Linked DNA regions of Notamacropus eugenii. The protein of the gene in region 2 purifies or fractionates together with the protein of the main gene of each other region. This does not show direct contact. Links are inferred from orthologs where the notes say so. Each region holds a gene or a part of one and is shown on either strand. Other genes may lie near its edges. The genes, in order: NUDCD3 and KLHL6.

Region 1 (11,176 bases), on a different chromosome or scaffold from region 2:
ACCGAGGTGAGGAACTTACAGAGTTCAGAGCAGGGGGACAACTTCCAGACCTTGCCCTGGATCAGACCACTCTAGGAGCACTGAAAGCTTGCAGGTCTCTCACTTGTGACTAAGACCCTGGGAGACACAAAACTCAATACCCCAAGAAAGTTGCAACAGGAACAACCCAGAACTTCCCTCCAAAAGTGTGGCAGGGCCCAGCTCTAATGTTAAATGCAAACTCATTAAGAAGAGGAATGGGCAAACTAAAAAAAGAACCCCACCATAATGAGTAACTATGGTGGCAGAAAAGTTCAAGACCCAAACACAGATAAGGAAAATTACCCCAAAACATCTACAAACAATGCCTCACAGAAAAATAGTTTGGGCTCAAACTAAACTAAAATTCCTGGAATATATGAAACAAGACTTTGAATTTTTTTTTTTTTTACTAAATGGAATGAAAGTGCATGAGGAAAAAATTGGAAATGAAAGCTATAGAATAAAAAACTGTAAAGAAAATTAACATCTTGGCACTAGAGATATGAAACCACGCGTGTCCAAGCAATGTTTAAATGGTCGAAATTGAAACCAACGATTTCATGAGGCATCAAGAAATACTGTGTGTGTTCGTCCTTCGTTGCCGAAGAAGACCATACCATCAGAGAAATAATGACATGACTTGCAATTGACTTTTGTTTTGTACTTGACTTTGTTTGTGCAGGTCACCAGCCTCACTTCTCCCTCCAGAGCCATGGGAATCCAGTGACCAGATATTCATCAGGATGACTCCAGATGACCCAGAATGAGGCAATTGGGGTGAAATGACTTGCCCAATGTCACACAGTTAGTGAGTGTCAAGTGTCTGAGGTGAGATTTAAACTCAGGTCCTCCTGACTCCTGCACTGGTGCTCTATCTATTGCACCACCTAGCTGCCCACGCAAGAAATATTAAGACAAAGTCAAAAGAGGAAAAAAAAACTAGAAGAAAATACAAGTTCTCTCATAGCAAAAACAACTAACTTGGAAAAGAATGAAGAGAAAATTTAAAAATCATTGGTCCATCTGAACATCATGACCAGAACAAGAATATATATGTGTGTGCATGTATATTATATATGCACATATACACACATATGCAACATACCTGTATACATATACAAGTGCGTATGTGTGTGTATATATATATTTATATATATATATATTTTTATATATATATATATATATATATATATATACACACACACACATATATGAAATGTTTCAAGAAATCTTAAAAGAAAATTGCCCAGATCTCTTAGAACCAGAGTGCAAAGCAGAAACAGAAAGAATCCACTGGTTATTTCATGAAAAAATCCTCAGAATGAAAACTCTTAGGAACATCACAGCCAAAACCTAGAACTTCCAAAACTAAGAAAAAATACTTCAAACAGACAGAAAGAAAGAATTCCAGTACCAAGGAGTCACAAGATTACACACAATTTAGCTGTCACCACCATAAAGGAATAGAGAACATGGAATATAATATTCCAGAAGGCAAAAGCTATATGGGCTTTATAGTCAAGAAAAACTTACCAGCAAAACTGAATGCAATATTATGGGAGAAAAAAAAACCAGATTCTTAAAGAAACAGACAACTTTCAAACATTCCTGATTAAAAAGGGAAAGGAAGGTTAGGGAAAATTACCTTACTTTATCAGGATGAATGTAGAGGGGTTGGAGGGGGGGGAACAGAGAGACATTTGAACCTTCCTTTCATTCAAAATAGTCAAAAGAAGGGAGAATACACATACTCAGATGAAGACAGAAATACCTTTCATTCAACAGGGAAATAGGAGGGAACAGGGATTAGGGAAAAGGAGTCTTAGAGGAAAGGTTAAGTCAAGGGAGGGATTAGTTTTAAACAAAACAAACTCTAAAGATATAAAAAAATAGCTTTTTTTGAGGTGGCAAGGAATGGCAACTTGACAGGGTGCCCATAAATTGAATAATAGATGAACAAAATATAGTATATAAATGGAATAGAATACTATTGTGCTAAACTCTTTATCTGCATAATGACCAACCAGGGTTCCAGAAAATTAATATGCTATCTACCTCCTGAGAGGTAAAGTACTAAGACAAATTTTTTTTGGACAAGACCCGTTTGGAATTTTGCTTTGATTGACCATACAAGTTTGTAATGGCTTTTGTTTTTCTTATGTTCAAGTAGGGGATTGGGTTACAAAGGTGAAAAGACAGATCTTGGATGATTAAAACAAACAAAATATATCTTTAAAAGCAAAAGAAAAACAATTCTGCCTCACACATTTGCGAGCTGTATGTTCACACCCAGGCAAGTCACTTAACATCTCTGAACTTATTCTCTCATCTTTAAAATGGAAATAATAACAGTATCTATTTCATAGGGCTGTCATGAGGAGAAAATTAAATAACATGTAAAGCATCATATAAATGTGATCTATATCATCATCATCATCATCACTATTATTTGTACAGAACTATTAGATGAAATTTCTGGTCATAGGAAAGGTTAGAAAAGACACAATGCTGGCCCTCAAATAATTCACAGTTCATGATGGTACAATGGAAAAGCACTTGATTTCAAGTTAAAGGACCTAAGTTCAAATCCCACCTCTGATATTTACATCTGTGTCACCTTGGCCAAGTCACTTAATCTCTCTGGGCCTCAATTTTCTCATCTGTAAATGAAGGGGTTGCACTGGATGTCCTCTAAGGTCCCTTCCAGCTTTAAATTTATAATCCTAGTAGAGGCATAAGACACCAATTTACTAATATAGGAAATTTCTTCCTACCTCAGATACAGATTAATATTTTTACTTCTGGATTTAAATAGACACCTTGAAATTCATCAAACTTTGAACAAAAAATTGCGCCCATTCCACAACCTGACAGCCTATGATCCTGCTTCCTTCCCTTCAACCTCTTGGTCAATTATTCCATTTTAACATAGCTCTAGTTCTATTGAGGTTATTTATGTTTTCCTCTCAGGAAAGTGGAGTTCTCTAAGTGATGCTCCCAAGCCTCCAGTGGTGTCCAGGCCACCATAAAAATAGGTAATATTTATATTCCTCTTTGAAGATTTATAAAGCCAAAGTTTTACATACATTACCTAGAAGCCTCAAAATATCCCTGAGATAGATGCTACTTTTATTCCCTGTTTTACAGCTGAGGAAACGTTACCTTATTGGAACCTCAAAATATTGCCAGAGTTGATGCTATTTTTTATTCCCCGTTTTACGGATGAGGAAACTAAAATCCAGAGAGAAACTATCTTGTCCAAGATCACAGTAAAGAGTGTTAGTATGAAAAGAGCTGGATTTGGAGCGATATGACCTGGGTTCAAATGGCAGGTCTTCACTACCACTGCTTAACTGTAGGTAAACTACTTCAGTTCTTTTCCCAGATTTTCCCATGGGTAAAACGAGTGGGGTAGCACTAAGAAAACCTCTAGGATTCCTTCCAACTGTAGGAGCGGTGTGAAGGCAGGAATGAAAACCCAACTCTTCCAGATTGATTCCAAGTCCTCAGGCCCCCTCAGCAAGAGCCCCGTCACGCCCTTTCAAAGAAGGCAGCTCAGCAGGGGGCCTCGGATAGACCGGAGAGACCCAGGGGACTGAAATCCCCCCAAACAGACTCCCAGAGCGTCCGAGCTGGGAGAGGTCTTAGAGGTCACTTTACAGAAAAGGAAGCTGCGGGCCAGAGAGGGGAAGCGGCCAACAGAGGGTGACCGAGCTCCGGGCTCTCCTCGCTCCCTCCCTTCCATATCCCGGGCACCGGGGCAGAGGTGGCGGCGAAAGGGCGGCTCCCCCCCCCACACCCCCGGTGACAAAGGGACGCAGCCCTCGGGTGGGGTCGCGCCGAGCCGCCCCGCCCCGCCGTGCCCCCCCCACCCCCGGTTACCTGCAGCACCATGGCTTGGGCCGCCCCGGGGGGGAAGCCCATGCGGTCAGCCGAGTGGCGCAGCAAGCGGTAGAAGTCCGTCTTGCGGTAAAGGAAACCGAACAACACCCGCAGAAAGTCCTGGACGTTGCCCACGTGCTGCAGGATGCCCAGCAGCGCCTGGTCGTACAGCTCCGCCGCCCCGGGCTCCATGGCGACCGGCCCGGTCGGCCCCGAGGCGGGAGGGACACTGACACTCGGGGACAGGGGGTGCAGCGGCCTGCCGCGGCCTGGGTCTCAGCGTCAGCCGCCGCCTCTGCCTCTGACCGGCGGCTTCCGCTGTATGTGAGCGTGTGAGTGTGTGTGTATGTGTTTGTGTGTTTGTGTGTATGTGTGTAAGCGTGGGCACCGTCAACGGCTCCACCACCCAGCCGCCGAGACCGAGGGACTTCCGGTCTGCCCTGCTTGCCTCCGGAGACAACGTCCCTCCCCCGGCGCCGAGGCCGCCGCCGCCGTCGGGATTTCCGGCGTGGGTGCCCTGGCTAAACAGGCTCGACGCAGCAGGGGAACCAAAAGAGGGCCCAGACCAGAAAGTCGGGGGTTGGCGAGCACGTGACACCCAACGACCCTGTGGGAAGAGGGCAAAGGAAGTTTTCTACGCCTCCCCCCTCCACGTGACGTACGCGCGTCACTGAGAAAACATCGCCACCTCCCACTGCGCGCGCGTGGGTTCCGAGCGTCACGTGACTCCGAGTTTCGGGCTCCTTTCTGTTTGAAGTTTGTTTCTCCGGACTGAATCGTGCTTAGCCTCGGTCCGCTCGGCGTCCTGAGAACCGGGGTGACCTCGGGCCTGGAACCAGACGCCCCGAGGGCTGCAGCTGGTGTGGAAGTTAAATGGTTTCGGTTTCAGCCCCCCTGTTGTGCACGCCAGGAAAAGGAGGCTAGGGAGATTCCGAGGTCGCGGAGCACCGCTGGATCCCGACCCCGATCCCGACCCCGATCCCGACCCCGATCCCGACCCCGATCCCGACCCCGGGTGTTGTCAAGAGCGGTGCTTGCCTTGCGGCCCTAGGAGTGCCCCACATCCCCTGCCAACCCTCCCAGTCATGCTGCCTGCGCACCGAGCATTGCCCTCTGGGCTCGCTGCGCCGGGCTGGTTTTGCTAAACTGATTTTTTTTCTTCTCTTTATAATTTTTCAAATGAGATAACACCTAGAGCGCTCCGGAAGCCCTGTAAACTTTACAGCTATTTATTTAATGTTATATTTATAGTATAACTACCTTTTTTTCCCTCTGTTGGGGAGAACATAAGATTTTGAAGGTAATGTAAAGGTAAAAGTTATTTTTAAAAGTTAAAGAAATTTTAAAAACTGAAAACCTTTTGCTTTAAGAGAAAGTTGGAAAGCTTTAAAAATTTTTATTGGGCTGATAAAAGGGGTGTGTTTTATGCGGTCCCCAATTTGCCCTAGTCAGGCCAAGTCTGAAGTGCTAAGTTCAGTCTGGGGCATATTTGGGTGATATGAGTAAGCTAAGTGGATAGAGCTGTGGGCAGGAAAATCGGAGTTCAAATCCAGCCTCAGACACTTACTAGCTGTAGGACATGGAGGAAGTCACTTAATCCAGTTTGCCCCTCGGTTTATCATTTGTGAAGTGACCTGAAGAAATAAATGCCAAACCCACTCCAGTATCTTTGCCAAGAAAACACCAAATGGCATCATGGAGAGTTGGACCCAGCCAAAACAAAACAACAATAAAAAGCTGAAGGAAGACCAGAAAAGTGAAAGGATCTTAAAATAACAAGATTTAAATCTGAAAGGGACCTTAGAAGCTTATCTAAACAGCCTCTCATTTTACATTTATAAGAAACTGAGGTCCAGAGAGTTTTAAGTGGGAGACCCAAGATTAACAACTGACAGGATTCAAACCCAGGTCCTTTAATTCTAAATCCAGCACTTTTTTGTGCCAATAGATTGTGTAACGGGAAGATCAGTTGATGAAACTGGAACAGCAACCTATGGGGCCACTGTCGACTTATTGAAAACCACATATTAGCCAGGAGCATTTGGAGGGGAAAGGTACCATAGTGAAATGGCACCAAGATGTCTTGGAAAAAAAAAAAAACATTTTGATCCACCAAAAATCCCTAAACTCAAGATGCTCAAAGATCAGCAGTATGTGGTGAGACCAATGGCCCCATTCAACATAAGACTTATGTAGTGAGTATATTTATGAAGGCAAGAAATTTAATGCCTGGAAGAAGACAGTACAGAATAAGCTATATCTGCAATTTTTCACTTCCACATCAAATGTACCTATTGTCTAGCTGAAATTACCTTCAAAACAGACCCAGAGAATACAAATTATATCATGGAGCCACATGAAATTTCTAGGCTGAGAAACTCCTGAAAGTTAAAGAAAAAAGGTTATAGAAGGAAAGAGAAGATGAAGAATTAAATAATTCCATGAAGGGGCTGGAGAACCAGATCAAGGACTCCAAGCTGGAGACGGAGACACTGGAAAATCTGCAGGAGCTGACAGTGTTTACCCAGTGCTAGGCTAATGTGGACTTTGAAGCAATATCACAGCAGTACCAAGTGTCTGAGAAGGAGAAACTCCAGTGAGATCAGGAGAAAGCCCAAATGGAAATGGAAAGAAGAAGCCAGGAAATGGTGACTGATCTAAGACACTGATTGATGAAGAGCTCACCCTTGCACCTACCCAGCTGCCCATTCAAGCCAACCCCACAGCCTTCTTAGAAGTCTCATAGCTAAAAAAGCAGAAGTTGGAGAGCTGGGAGCAGAGTGTGGGGGCACTTGGCAGCAAGTCAGAGCTGGCAGACCTGGTTGTGGCAAAGAGGCAGCTGCCCCAAGACCCAGTAGCAATAGTGGGCATGTGGTCTCGCTGTCTCATAGCACAGGTGTACAGCAGAGTTTTAAGGAGGCTAATGTTACCCAGGATATCCATTGTTTCAACCCTGAGCCACTTGGGGGCATACTCAAACAAGTGAAGACAGCAGCAACAGCAGCAACAGCAGCTGAAGCAAGGGAAACCTCAGACTGCTCCCCAATGGAGCCAGGTTGGAGTTGTTCGGTAGGCACAGCCATGTGAAGAAGAGAATTAGGCTGGAAGCAGTGCTGCCAGAGATTCTATCTAGTGAGCTTAGTGTGCTTTCCCCACTTCTTAGCTGCTCAGCAGCTGACTGCTCCATTCCTCTCCAAGCCCCTAAGCCCCAGGAGGATTCAGTGTGGTGGTACTCTTCCTCTGAATCTTTCCACTTTAGATAATGACAGGTGAAGATCTGACATCTGTTCCTGGCCTAGTAGACCTCCTAATAGCAGGGGTGGACCTATAGAAGATATTAGGCCTCAACCCTGCTTCCTTCAAACCCCTGCCCCTCATGCTCATCAAGCCCAGGCAATCAGAGCAGAATCCGTGGGGAAGCAGGGAATTACTTCTTACATTCCCTGGAACTTAAGAGCTTTTCCAGAATTCATTTATCTCTGTCACTGGTATTTCTTTCATGACAATCCATACAGACTGATATTTTTCATCAGTGCTCAGTGCTAACAGCATGTGTGGTGGGTTTGCCTTCGCCCTAACCCCATTTCAAGTAGCTAGGTGGTTTAGTGGATAGAACACTGGACATGCAGTCAAGAAAGCCTAAGTTCAAATCTGCTCTCAGACACTTATTAGCCATGTGAGCCTGGGCAAGTCACTTAAATCTATTTGCTTCAGCTTCTTCATCTATAAAATAAGCTAGAGAAGAAAATGACAAACCACTCCAAGATCTTTACCAAGAAAACCCCAATTGGAGTCACTAAGAGTGAGACATGGCTGAATATGTGTCAGGTACTGTGCTAAGCACTGGAGATACAAAGCTCCTCAAGGAATTTGCAATCCAGTAAAGGAAAGTAAGACTCAAAAGGAAACTAAGAAAGGGAAAGGAGGAGAAGAAATAACCAACATGGTGGCTTAGTGGAAAAAGGCAGGGAAGTCCCAAGGTAGAGCACCCAGGTAAGAAGTGAGTTTTCTAAACTGAAGTCTCCTTAAATGGAGATTGCAAGTTCATGGCCTCATCCTTCAATCAGTCATATAGAAGAAGGTTTAGATTTGTGCTTGGCCTTTCACCTGGAATCTATCAACTAGGTTTGTTTGTTTTTTAATCCTTCAGTTTCAATATAATTGGTTTCCTTTGTAATTCATTTTATTTTATGCATTTAAAAACATTATTCCAAGAAGAGTTTCTGAGAATAAATTTTACCAGAGCCCCAGTGGGGTAAGTGATACACAAATAGCTTAAGAACTCCTGCCCTAGAAAAGATAATTAGAAAAAAGGGGTGGAATTGCAGAAAAAAAAAAGACAAAAAAACACATATTTCTCCTCATTTAAAGAGGAACTTCCCAATACTCCCCCGCTAGATTGTAAACTCCTTTAGAATAGAGATTGCCTTTTTTGTATTGGAATCCCTATTACTTAACACAGTGCCTAGCACCTAGAAAGCACTTAATAAATGTCAATTGACTATGGCAAAAACTAGACCCTTTCTTCTCGTTCAGCCATCTCATATTGTAGATGGTGAAACTGAGACCAGAGGTGAAGAGACTTGCCCAAGATCACACAAGTAGTTAAGTGGCAGAGCTAGAATCAAACTTAGATCTTTTCATTCCAAATCTAATGCTTTTCCCCACTGCGTTTCACTCTTTTAGAGAAGATTCTTGTTCAGGTATGTGTAGTACTAGTTGGCCTCAGAGTTCCCTTCCAACTCTGAAATACTGTGCCAGCAGGATTGGTGAGTTAGGGGAATGTCCACCCCAACCATGTGAAGACTTTCCCTGGTGGGATGGACAGATGAGAACAATTTGTTCCAAAGGCCATGAAGATGGCTAAAGCAGGCACTGTGGAGCTCTTAGAGCTTGGTCAGACATCAGAGAAACCTAGGACATCCTCTCATCCCTAGCCATAGCCATTCACCTTGACATTTATCCTGCCACTGAACTTCAGTGACACTGGAAGAGAGAGTGAGGCTGTTGACTTTGTTCAATTCTACCTAAAATCCAATTCAGACACTAGTGAAGATATCATCCACAGTGTCATTGATCCTCTTCCAAAAAAATGATTAACAATTGTTTTTCATCTACCCTCAGCTAGGGCTCTGTTTTATTCATCTTTATTACTCCCACAGCATCTAACACAGAACCTTGCAGATTGTAGATGTTCAATAAATGAATACTGAATTCTTTGTTATATTTATTAAATTATATTTGTTATTTTTATAAGGTTTATAAAGTTCTCCATGCAGGGACCACTTGAATTCTCCCTTTAGTTTTAGAATAAAGAAATCTTGTCTGATGATTGAGTCACCAAACAAGAATTAAATTATGTTATGTTTAATTGTATCAATGACAAATTGTAAAATTTAAGTTGTTACATTTGGTTCCTGTTCTTTTATTAATTACTTGTGCAGGCTTTTGATTGATCTTTGTAAGAGAGTAGAATTGAAGAGGAGTAGGTAAATGACCTTCACCATGTGTTCTATATAGAAAAGACTACTGGTTGAATATCAGGCTTGTCAAGCTTATCCTCAAACATATGAACAATGACCTCCCTCAAGAAACATCTTGAGAAGAAAAAGGAAGATGTCCTGTCCAACATGGTGTTTGTCACTTTTGAAGGAAGCTCCCCCGACAGAGGGCTTGGACTGGCTAGAGGTCTACATAAGTTCTTTTGAAAATTAAGGTATATATTAATTAATAGGAATGGCTTGGTGAAAACAAACAAACAAACAAACTCTGGACTTGGAATCCAGAGAAACTTGAGTTTGAATCCTGCCTCTAATACTTTATTACCATGTACAAGTAACTGCCTCTCTCTCTGAGCTTTAGTTTTCTCATTTCTAAAATGTTGGGGGTGGGTGGGAAATAATAACCTGTAAGAAGAGAGACAGCCTGGCATAATGCATAGAGACCTAGCTTCATTGTCAGAAAGACCTGGATTTAAGTCCTCCTTTCTAACACCTAGCAGTGTATGTGACCCTCAGCAAGTGACAATTTGTTGTAGTCCAGAAAGTCACAAAGACTATGAGTTACAGGTAATGATCTGCTTTGAAAGGGGAAGTTTCTGTACTAAGATTCCCTCCACCAATGAAATCACAGATCTGCACTAAAAAAAAAAAATTCTTGTATTTACTTCAGTGGTAATGCCCACTATGAAATTAAACTTTGTGCAACATGGAGCAAAAACCACATGTGAAATCCTATTCTCATTCCTAGTCTTTTGGCAAGAAAACTTTGTGATTTCTTTGCGTCATATTATTTCTTGACTTCAGTACTCAAAGGTTGTTCCAGGTATCATACCTGTGTTGCCCAATATGTAGTATTTGGGCCACTGAAATACTGGCTGACATACAGTTCTTGTGTGTGCTTGCCTTCCTTTTACCTTACAAGAAGATAGTATATCATAGTAAATTATCCAGCTAAGGAGTATAGTACTTAAATTGTCCACCACATAACCCTCTTCCTAGAGCCATCACACTAGTTGCCTTTCAAAAGACTGAAGTATTATCCCTTCTTGGTACCAGCAGAGATTTAGCATACAAATACCTGGGCTACAACTGCTATACATGGCCACTTTCCAATTTTAACTAGGGGCCTTTAATGGAATATTACTCAAAACATCAAAAATATGAAATCTATAGCCATAGATCTCCCATACAATATCTGACTATTCCTCTCAGTAGTCGTGACATCCCACATCCAAAGAACTACAATATTCCATTTACTATGGAAGCAGTTGGTCAAATAGTAGATGGAGCACTGGGTCTGGAATCAGGAAGATCTGAATTCAAATCCAGCCTCAGATGCTTACTAGCTTTATGACCCTGGGCAAGTCATTTAACCCCAGTTTCCTCAACAGCACCTAACTCTCAAGGCTGTTGTGAGGATCAGATTGGATATTTATAAAAGCACTTAGCATAACGTCTGGCCCATAGTACATAATACTATTCCCTCTCCCTCCCTACTGTAGCCACTGTTTATTGAGCATAATGAAAATAACAGGAAAGGAGTTGAGAATCTATGTGGAACCAACCATGTTAAGGCATTTTCTAAAAACTCCCCCAGATGACCTCCCAGTTCTTCAGGTGTATCCCTTATAGTTTTAGAGAGTTGCTTACCTCATTAAGGAGTTAAATGACTTGCTGATGTGTCAGAAGCAGACTTAAGCCTGGCTCTTCTTCCAAAGGCAGCTTTCCAAGTCTTGTCAGAGAGGTAATAAGGACAAAAGGTCGACTTTGTT
Region 2 (10,889 bases):
TGTGACAATACAATGTAGAACAGGGAGGTCTGTAGAGAGATTTCAAGGGCTCTGTGAACTTAGATGAGAATACATCTTTATTTTCACTGATCTCTAATTGAAATTGAAACTTTCAATCAATAATATATTATTGATATATGTAATATATATAAATAATATATATATATTATTTAGAGAAGAAGTAAAGAGGTTTTCCCACAGACTGCCAAAGGGGTCTACGACACACACACACAAAATCTTGATGTAGAGGATAGAAAACTAACGTTGAAGGCAAGTCACTTAACTCTCAGAGACCCACAGCAACCCTTTAAGACACCCTACTAGTGGAGGAATAGATGCCAGTCTATCCCGGGAGAGGAAGTTTCTTCACTGAAATTTCCTTACACTAATGAAATCAAAGGTCCTTTCTTTAAAAAAAGGAAAAAAATCTTCTTTACATAAATCCTATTCCAGTGCTTGATATGACCTGAAAAAGATCCTGGGTTCTTAGGGCTTGTACAAGCTCTGACAAGTTCTACTAGACTAGAAAGGCACTGGCCTGTCCCTGCTATCCAAGGAATATCTAGGTAAGTAGAATGGAGGTCACCATCTGGAGGCTAGCCACCCAGGAATGAATTATATCCATTTAATGGACAAAATTACAAAACAGCCCCCCTTCCTCTATGGCACCCTTGTGTTCCTATAGTTATAGACAAGGAACCACAAGAAAATGAGCTAGACCAGGGGTCTTAACTTCATTTATGCTATGGTCTCCTTTGGGAGTCTGATGAAACCTAGGGAACTTTTCTTACAATCATGTTTCTAAAATAAAAGATGGAGAATTATAGAAGAAATCAAATCTAATTAAACGAAGCTAAGAAAAATTTTAAATAAATTCATGGATTCTTTGAAATCTATCCACAGAGCTGTGGACCCTAGCTTACCAACACTCAGGTTAGAGGTTGCTAAAAGTCAACCAGTTCTTAGACCATCTAGAAATTTAAAATCTTGACACTTTGGAAGTAATGACCAACACAGTCATAGATTTTTAGAGGAATTGAACCCCATAGACACTGACAAATTTTTGCTATGATGAAATCAGAAGACCAAAGAGTTACAGCTCAGTGGAGGGATGGTTGACCTGTCTCTTTGTTAGACTTGTTTTCATCGTGTACTGATGTACATGTGTCTTCACATATTATGGGCCATGAGGTCCTGCTACTTTGAAGAGCTTTCAGTGGGTGTAAGCAAAGATGCCACAGTGAGGACAATTTGGGGCTCTGGGTCTGAACCAACATCCAAAGATATGGAGAAATTCTTTGAAAAACTCAACAAGATCCCCCATATTTTGTCAGCCCAGACCATGATATTCAATGGCTTCAATCTGAGAGCGAGCACAGTGGACAACAGTGAAAATTATATTGGAAAATATGCTTTGGGGTCAAAAAATGAAAGAGACCAGAATCAGGTAAACTCTGGAGAAACACAACATCTGAAAAATACTCATGAATACTTCTTTCATTCAACCATTCAGAATTTGTTAAGCTATGGACAGGATACATGAGGGAATAGAATCAGAAGGATGATACTAAGTTTAAAGAGGACTGAGAAAGGCAACTTGCAGAAGGTGGGATTTTAGCCATTTCAGAACCAACTGTTAATGAGCGGTCTTATCATCAAAAGTCCAAGTAAGCATCAAATGTCAAGAAATGAGGAAAGGATGTGAACAATTATAAATATTGCAACCCAAAATGTTTAAACACTCAGAAAAATGGGAAATGGACACGCCCATTTCATCACTGTATCTTTAGTCAATGCAAGAATTTAGTCAAATCTCTGCATTATAAAGAAGTATGGAAGATTCTAAGCCCTATCAACTCACAAAACAGTGCAAAGCTGTTGAAGAAAATAATCCACCCTCTAAAAACTTGGCATGAGATCTAGCTAAGCCAGCTAAGAGGTGGAGACCAAGCCCTTCATTTAACAGATGAGGAGACTGTGACCCGGAAAGGTTGTTTGGTTTACCCAAGGTCACAAAGAGCCAGGATATGACCTCCTATCCCTTTTCTTCAAATTCAGGGCTCTCACAATGCTTCCTGTCAATCCAAGAGTGTTCGTGAGTGAAAAGCAGAGGACAACTATCAGACAGGAAATGGAACAATTCTTCCAACGATAAATAGCATGCAACATCGCTGTGAATATGTAAGACTGGAAAAGGGAAGTGGGCCGGATGGGTAGAAAGACGGAGAGACAACACAGAAGCAGCGGGAGGCTACGTGGCTATGTCTGATATATTAAGAAAACCAAGGGAAGGATCACACAAAATGAATATGAAAGGATTGAAATTTGCAACACTGGACAAATTGCTCACGGACTGAAATGATAGTCATCAAAATATATCAGAAGGAACATTGTATTCCAAACCCTTTATTTTACAGATGAGGCAACTGAGGTTCATGGAAGTCAAGGGGATTTCATAGGATCCTAGATTTGGAAGGGACCTCAGAGGCCATCTAGCCCAGCTCCTGCATTTACAGATGAGGAAACTGAGGCCAATAAGTGCTAAGTGACTTGTCCAAGGTCACACAGGCATTAAGTGTCAAAGGAACCTAGATCCTCTGACTCCAGGGCTAGTATTTTCTTTTCCTAGCTTTTTCTATCCTTTTTCTTTCCTGCAGTGATGATGGATTCAATATGTAGACCTAACACAGTGGTCTGCTTGTCTTAGGGGTCTGAGTCATATCTCCCACTCTGTCCATGGATGTCAAAGTAACCATTCTTATGAATTTCATGAAAAATGCATTAACAAAGAGAAGGTCTTTCTTGTCATCCATGAGGCAGATATTATTCAGCACCTGCTAGGAGAGGAGCCTGCTCTGCTGGGCTTTTCACAGGCCAGTCGTTCGGATGGGAAGGCGTGTATGAACTAATATAGAGGGAAGCAGGCAGAACCAGGAGGTCAGCATTCAGGCTGGCTACCATGATGTAAATGAAGACAACCCTGAGTGCCAGCCTCTGAATAACTGTCATGATCAGTCTTGGTCTCAGAGGACAGAGGATGTTCTCCCAGGAGGGAGGTGGGGGACTAGTGAAGCAGAATGTTCCGTATAACCTCAAACACCAGGCCTCACTCAGTTGGTTTGGTTTGTATACCTTTGGCTGTTTTGTAGGGAAGGGTTCAATGGAGTAAGATGGGAGTGATGCCTTGATAAATCGCTGTGGCATAAATACAAAAGGAGCCATTAAAACTTGAAAAAATAAAGTTGTTCTTCTCTCTGTGATCTAAGATAGTGAATGGAAAGATCCCTTTCCTTGATGTCAAGAAGGGTTATGACATGGTTTGTCCTTTTTCCATGACTCGGGAGCCTCAGGAATATCCCTGACATGGGACCCTGGCATATCAGTTATGAACAACACCTTGTTACTTGTATTGGCAGCATACTGGGTTAGAAAGAAGACTGGGTCTGGAATCAGAAAACTTGGGCTCAACATCTAGCTTTCCTTCTTTCCATCCCGGTGACAAAGGCAAATCATTTCACTTCTCTAGGCCTCAGTTTCTCTGTCTGTAAAATGAAGGTGATGGACTATCTGATCTCTGAGATCTCTTCCAGCTCTATATTTATGATCATGTCATTCTAAGTTACTTCCCTTCCTGGGCCTCAGTTTCCCCATTGGTAAAATGGAGGGGGAGTGACCTAGGTGACCTCTGAGGTCCCTTCCAACTCTAGAGCTAGAATCCTATGAGCTGATAACTAGATGATATCTAAAGTCCCTTCTACCTCTAAATCTATGCTCCCATGAGCTTCCTATCAGTCAAGTCAAGAAGCTTTTTAAAGCGTCTACTATGTGCCAAGACCCTGTGCCAAGTGCTGGGGGATACAAAGAAAGGCAGAAGTCAGTCTCTGCTCTCAAGAAGCTCATACTCCAATAGGGGCCAACATGCACACAGCTGTGTACAATCAATAAATGCTGGGCCAAGAGGTGATCAACAGAGGGAAGGCATCCTGTTAAAAGCAAAGACAAAGGATTCCTCTAGAAGGCTGGATTTCAACTGACCCCTGGGGGAAGCCCAGAGGTGAAGAGGATGAGGGACAGAATTCTAGGCATAGTGCACAAGCTGGTGAAAATAAGGGCTATCCATCAGATGGGTATAAACAAGGCTAATAGATAAGATAGATAATTCAATATGATTTAGAGATTCAGCACCCTCCTTTTCTCTGAGCCCTTGAAATAACCTCTTCTCCCTCTGCTACCCACAATCCCCCCAAGCCCCTTAATTATAGGATCATAAATGAACATTTGTAAGACACAACAAAGACCACCTAGTTCAACAGTCATTTTACAAATGAGGACACTCAGACCCAGGAAAGGTGAAGTGACAAATAGAGAGGGTCAGAGTCAGGATTTGGACTCAGGTTCACTGAATCCAAAGTCAATTGGAGCATTCTCGGCAATTCATGTTATAACTCGAAAAAAAGAAGGGACTCTTGTTTTACATCCTGTTTCTCTAATGTATTGTTACAAAGAACACAGATAACAACGGTGCCAAATTAAAAACAAACCCAACAGAACTCAGCAAGACCCAGGAGTTTCAATCCATTTCATCTTCCTCTACAACTACCCTTGGCTTTGACTTTCATCGAAATGTATCCCCCAAATGGTGATTTTTCTATGACTTAGTCTGTAAAATAGCCTATAGGTTCCCCATGTCTGGACTTCTCTGTTAGCATCTCCCCTCAGGTGATTTTCAAACCATGGTTACAGCATCCTATCAATTCGTTTCAAATCTAGCACCAGCAGAAATCCTTGTTCAAACAAATGCCAAGCTCTACTCTCATTCTGGGTATCATATACCTGAAATAATTACTGGCTGCAGCAAGCACTGCCCGGTGGCAGGAGAATTCCTGAATGTCCACGCACAAGATGACATCGGTCAGGGAGTTTTCCAGTCGGAGGTTTTCCAAACCATTCTGTAGAATTCTCGAGAGTTCAGTGTCATCAAATTTCACTTTTTCACCATTCAAGATTTCCACCAGATCCCCACGTTTCCTGGAATGGCCCTCGTCCAGAGGAGTAAGGGGTCCTTCTAGGCTTTTTTCCACAGTGTCTCCCATGTTTCAGGAGGCACCGTGTCATCCCGTCAACACAAGTCTGAAAGAGCTCTGATGTTTCACCCAGGTCACACTGTAGGAGCCAAGCAGATTTCCTGTCCAAGGCCCTCCACTTATCAACAGCTGTCACACACATACACATAACAGGAAACCTTGCACTTTCTCATCCTGTTGCTACAAATGAGGGCAACTTCTTTTTTTTCTTCTTTCTTTGAAATACCACTGCATTTAGAAATGATTTCAGACAAACAAACAAAGGGAGAAGCTGAGATGTAAGGGGAAGAGTCAGATCACAGATCACACATATCATCACAAATTTAGAGCTAGAAGAGTTCTCGGACACCATTGAGTCTATCCTCCACATTTTACAATTGAGCTAACTTGCGAGTGACTTTCTTGCCTGCGCTCACACAACTAGTAATTATCTGACACAGGATTTTAAACGAGGTCTTCCTGACCAGGGGCAGGTAGGTGGTGGAGGGATGGAGCTCAGAGCCTGAAGTCCAATCCAGCCTCAGACACTTACTAGCTGTGTGACCCTGGGCAAGTCACTTCATCCTGCTTGCCTCAGTTTCCTCATCTGTAAAATGAGCTAGAGAAGGAAATGGTAAACCACACCAAATATCTTTGTCAAGAAAACTCCAAATGGCATCACTGAGAATTGGGCATGATTGAAACAACTGAATAATAACAACTTCCTGGTTTCATTTTGTTTCCATTGCCCTGGGAACTCCATGAGAGCAGGGACTGTCTTTTGCTCTCCTTTGTATCCCCAGTGCTTAACACATAGTAGGTCTTTAATAAATAATAGCTTATCAACGGACTGATCCAAGCCATTTTCTACCTTAATATGATGATCAGCTACCAAGTGTAATGGAGCTCTTTGGTCCTGGCTGTTAAATGTGTTTTTAATATATCTAAGTGGGTTCCTGCACTGACTGGGATAATTCTGGGAGTCGTCATAAGATGGTGGAGAGTCAGAGAGCTAGAAAGAACCATACAGACCAATGCTTTCATTTTACAAATGAGGAAACTGAGACTTAGAGAGGTTAAGGGACTTGCTCAAGGTACTCAAGCAGTAAGAGGAGTTCAAACCAAGGTTCTCTGATACAGAATCCAGTCCATTTCCCTCTGTATGAGTCTCTGATTCCATGCCCACTCCACACTCGCAGTTGCACAAGCTGGAAATGCCTGAACTGACCTGAAACATGGACCCAGAAGTCTCAGACTATTTTGGACTCCTCCTCCCTCTTGAGACCTGAAAATTACTGTGCCCTTGGCCTCCACCATGGCTCACCTCATCCATCATCTAAGTCACTGAAGCATCTTTTTCTACAGTGAGAAATGCATTGCCCAACTAAGAAATAAAAATGAAAGACAATGGACTGAAGCTTCCCAGCTGGGAAGGGGATCTAAGTATAGTTTGCCTGCACTACCTAGGGAAGTTTTGGGATGTCCAAGAGCTGGACTCTGCAAAAGTAGACTGGGTGTGGGTGTAGGCAAGGAAGACAAATCTGTTTTTTTCATTGGGTTGGAATTGCTGTAAATATGGATGACCAACACGACAGGTTCAGTTCCTGTAGAAGGCAGTAGCTTCATGAGAAGAAAGTTTTGTTCTCATGGCTTTAGATTGTCCTTCTAATCCTAGTCCAGTGACCAAGGTTTCCATCCTTAAAATAGAATCGCGTCTCCCTGGCATACTCCCAAAAGGCTTATCGGCTACTCCTGGGAGTCATATGTGCAATTTAGGTAGTTATAGTCAGGTACCTCTGCCACAATCTATATGAATTCATGCGTCACATTTTCCCCACTCTGGACCTCAGTTTCCCTATCTGTAAAACAAAAGGGTTGGACTAGCTAACCTCTGAAGTCCCTTCCAGTTCCAGATATATGATTTTATGAAACTTTTTAGGGTTACATATATCAGGTGTCAGGGATCCCTAATGGATATCCCCCCTTTGGGAGGTGGGAAACTGGAGGAGAGAGACCTCAGCTGAATGTAATTTCATAACAGCTCTTGGTAGGATACAGACCACAGCTCCATCCATTCATCGTCAAGCACTTATTATGGGCTTACTATGTGCTGGGCCATATATTAGGAGCTACAAAGACAAAAAGGAAATTGTGCCTATTCTAATGGGGGAAACAGTATAGACATATACAGGTACATATAAAACATGTCTAAGGCAGGTATAAGGTAACCTTGGAGGGGGACCCAGGACAGGGACCCTGCAGAAGCTGCTACTAGAGAAAAGACTTGAAGGAAATGAGTTCAACTCACCCTATTCTGGTGTATAATGAGTCTGGGCTCCATCCATGGCCCTGGACCAGCACAGGCATCTGGGCACAACCATACTCACTACAAATGACGACCTATGGAGAGAAATCCCTATAGAAAGTGTAGAAGGCTCCAATGTAATTTGAGAAAGTAGGTCTGCTCCTCAAGGAATAGACCAATATGGCTGAACCATAAAATATATGGAAGAAAATGATGTGCAAGAAGATTGGGAAGAGGGAGTGGGGAGGAAGGGGGAAAAACCACTTATGAACTACTTACTGTGTGGCAGACATGGTGCTAAGCACTTTATAAATATCATCTCATTCGTTCCTCCCAACCATCCCAGGAGGTAGATAATATTTTGGTCCCTATTTTGTAGTTGAGGGGACTGAAGCAGACAGAGGTTAAGTGACTTGCCCAGGATCACACAGCGGGGAAGTGTCTGAGTCAAGATTTGAACTCTGGTCTTCCTGACTCCGGCCCAGCACTCTATCCACTATGCCACCTACCTAACCGAGAACAGGTTATAAAGAGTTCTCAATGTCCAAAAGTTCATATTTGATCCTAAATATAGAAAAGACTTATGCCCAATCCCATAATCAGGCAAGAAAACTTTCCTCCAGCTTTCTGTAGAGACCTATACCACGAATACTACATTGTGTGACTTGGTGTTGCTTAGAAACAACTTAACTTTCTTCTCCTGGAGGAACTGGAAAGGAGCTTAGGGGATAGCCCACCCATCCTGCTATACCTGCACAGTCTACGTGACTCACAGTACCAGCAAGGAGCAAGCCTTGGTTACTTTCTTTTCCTTTCTGGCCCATCACTGTCTCCAGGTCTGTGTGGCGTGTTCACACTCCATCTGCACATCTGGTCTGCAACCAGGTACCTCCCTGTTATATGGAAGCAGACTTTGTCTTGCTCAGTATCCGAGAATTCTGAGTGGAGAAATAATGCAAGAGTGGAGAAATAATGAGAGATCAAAGGGCTCCCCCTTCCTCACTTTCCCTGACATTCCTTTTCTCACATAATTACTATAAAAAGATACAAAGAGAATACAGATGTTGATGACAGGTCTCTGTTTGCACAGAGGACCACAGTAACCTTTCTCTACACTTCAGAAGAAAACACAGTGTCCCTGGAGCTGGGGTGAGAGATCTGGGTTGAGCAACGGAAATGGGCTTAGGAGGGGGAAAGTAAGGAAGTGAAACAAAAGCTAGGGATATTGCCAACAAGGCTACATCTGCCATCGGGGGTGTGGTAGAGGGAAAAGGAACTGTAGAACTTTGTTCTCCCTTTCTTTATCAGTTTCCCCTTCTCCACTGCCCATCCAATGACTGCAAGACCCTGCCCTGGACCCTCTACTGGCACGGAGACAAGGTGAGAAGTAGAGATCATGGTTGAGGAGAAAATGGCCCCAATTCAAAATTCAGTTTCATTTAATTAACATGCAGTAAGTATCTGGCTGTATTGTGCTAGGTTCTGGAGATAAGGACAGAGAAAAAAATGAACCTGTTCCCCACCCTCAAGGGTTTCACAGTCGGCTGTGGGCATGTGATGTGGATATAGGCAAATAAACCCAAACCCATCTGTGGATGGATGGAGCATTCCCTGAGGGACCTGGGATCTCATAGAAGGAGGACCCTAAGGAACCTGAGAAGTCACTGTCTATACAGTCTCGGATGAGTCATTTAGCTTCCTTAGGTCAGTTTCGTCTTCTTTAAATGGGGTGGGGGTGGGGTAGACAAAATTATATGCATGTCTATGACCTTTTGAAGTCTTTTAACCTCCCTCGACCTCAATTTCCTCGACTCTAAAATAAGGGAGTTGGACTCCATGACCTCTGATAGATGCACTCTTCAGCTCTTGAGCTATGATCCTGTGTCTCAGGTGGAGATGATGAAGGAATCAATCTTTCAAACCCCAGGCTTGAGGGATAGTCTCAATACAATATGACTGGAGTTCAGCAAGCAATGAACTTGAAGGAAGGATGGCTGAGCTGTTCTTGGATGGGGGTGGGGACCACATGTGGTGCTCTAGGTCCTCAAGTGTGGCCCTTTGTCTGAATCCAAACTGAAGTGGACTTGAGGACCTATATGGCCACAGGTTCCTCACCCCTCCTCTTGATGCTCTCTGAAAAATCACAGACATGAAAGAAGGGCTACAAAGCTATTGCTTATTTTCAAAATGAAGGATAATTCTTCAACTATAAGCTATTTTGCATAGTTGATGAGTCTGACTCCAATTCCTGGCAGAATTCTTGAATGCCTTTTTCAATTTAAATTTTTGTTTATATCTTTTGTTGTTGTTGTTAAATCACCTTCATTTCCCATTATAACCCTCCTTCTTCCTTTCCCACAGTTTCATCTCTTATAACAAAGAAGAAAAAAGAAAGGAAAAACTCACTAAGCATCATGTCAGCCAAGTGTGGTTGGTGTATGCTGTGTATCACACACATAGTCCCCCATCTTTACTAAAAATGGAAAGAGGTACATTCTCATATCTCTTCTTTGGGGGCAAACTTGGACAAGAGAATTTGTGCACTCCCTCAGGTTGCTAAGAGTTGTGGAGCCTGGAGTCTGATGGTAAATGAAAGAGGAAAGAGGAAGAGAAAGTGGAGAAGAGAGAGAGAGAGAGCGAGAGAGAGAGAGAAGAGAGGAAGAGGGAGAGAGTGAGAGAGAAGAAAGAAGAGAGAAAGACAGAGAGAAAGAGACAGAGATAGAGACAGAGAGAGACAGAGAAAGACAGAGAGAGAGAGAGAGAGAGAGAGAGAGAGAGAGAGAGAGAGAGAGGGAGAGAGAGAGAGAGATCCTAACAGCATTTCTTACTTCTTCATGTCCCTAAGAAGTCACCGTGACCTTGGGCTAACGTGGCCAGATTTTTAAGTGACAAGCTAGCCCCTCATGTCTTAAGAGAAGGGGTGTGTGTGTGTGTGTGTGTGTGTGTGTGTGTGTGTGTGTGTGTGTGTGTGTGTGTGTGTGTGTGTGTGTGCGCGCAACAAACAAAGGCTAGGACATTCTGGGAGCAGCCCCAACAAATGGCATAGTGAGAATGGGAGCCTGAGACGACAGGAACCATGATGAGAACTTACCATGGAAATAGGAGGTCATCAGCACAGCAGCTGAACCCAGATCTGGGCATGAGGCACAGCCAGTGCAAAGTCACAGAGATGGGAAATGGATTGCTGTACATGAGGAAAAGGAAGAAGTCAGTTTGACCAGATTGTAGCATCTTTGGTTCCATCTTATCTCCATGCTCCCCTCCATGAAGGCTGTGACCTTCCCACTCTACCTCATCCACAACACACTCCCCTGGAGTACACTCTCTCCTTTCCTCTGTTCTGACTTTCCTTCAGGGCTCAACTCAAGGGTCAATTTTTATATTCCTGATTCATCCCAACTTCTAGTGCCCTCCCACACAAAATCACCTTGTATGTATTGGGCACTTATATTGTTACATGCTTATATGTGTTCAAGTTGTCTCCTTTGACTAGGCAGGGACTGTTTAACTTCTGGTCTGTG

The links.
Region 1: the proteins of KLHL6 (region 2) and NUDCD3 purify together in Homo sapiens (affinity purification with mass spectrometry; 3 studies listed by BioGRID and IntAct, counting the BioPlex papers as one, with this or other methods). This does not show direct contact. The link is inferred for Notamacropus eugenii from reciprocal best matches to the Homo sapiens genes KLHL6 and NUDCD3.

What each region holds. Positions count from the first base shown.
Region 1 is NC_092872.1:522,769,000-522,780,175, forward strand, and holds the start of NUDCD3 (nudC domain-containing protein 3), read right to left. Parts: upstream 4,468-11,176; 5' UTR 4,096-4,467; coding exon 3,904-4,095; intron 1-3,903.
Region 2 is NC_092873.1:54,258,041-54,268,929, reverse strand, and holds the start of KLHL6 (kelch-like protein 6), read right to left. Parts: upstream 5,308-10,889; 5' UTR 5,094-5,307; coding exon 4,834-5,093; intron 1-4,833. UniProt on the Homo sapiens protein: Involved in B-lymphocyte antigen receptor signaling and germinal center formation.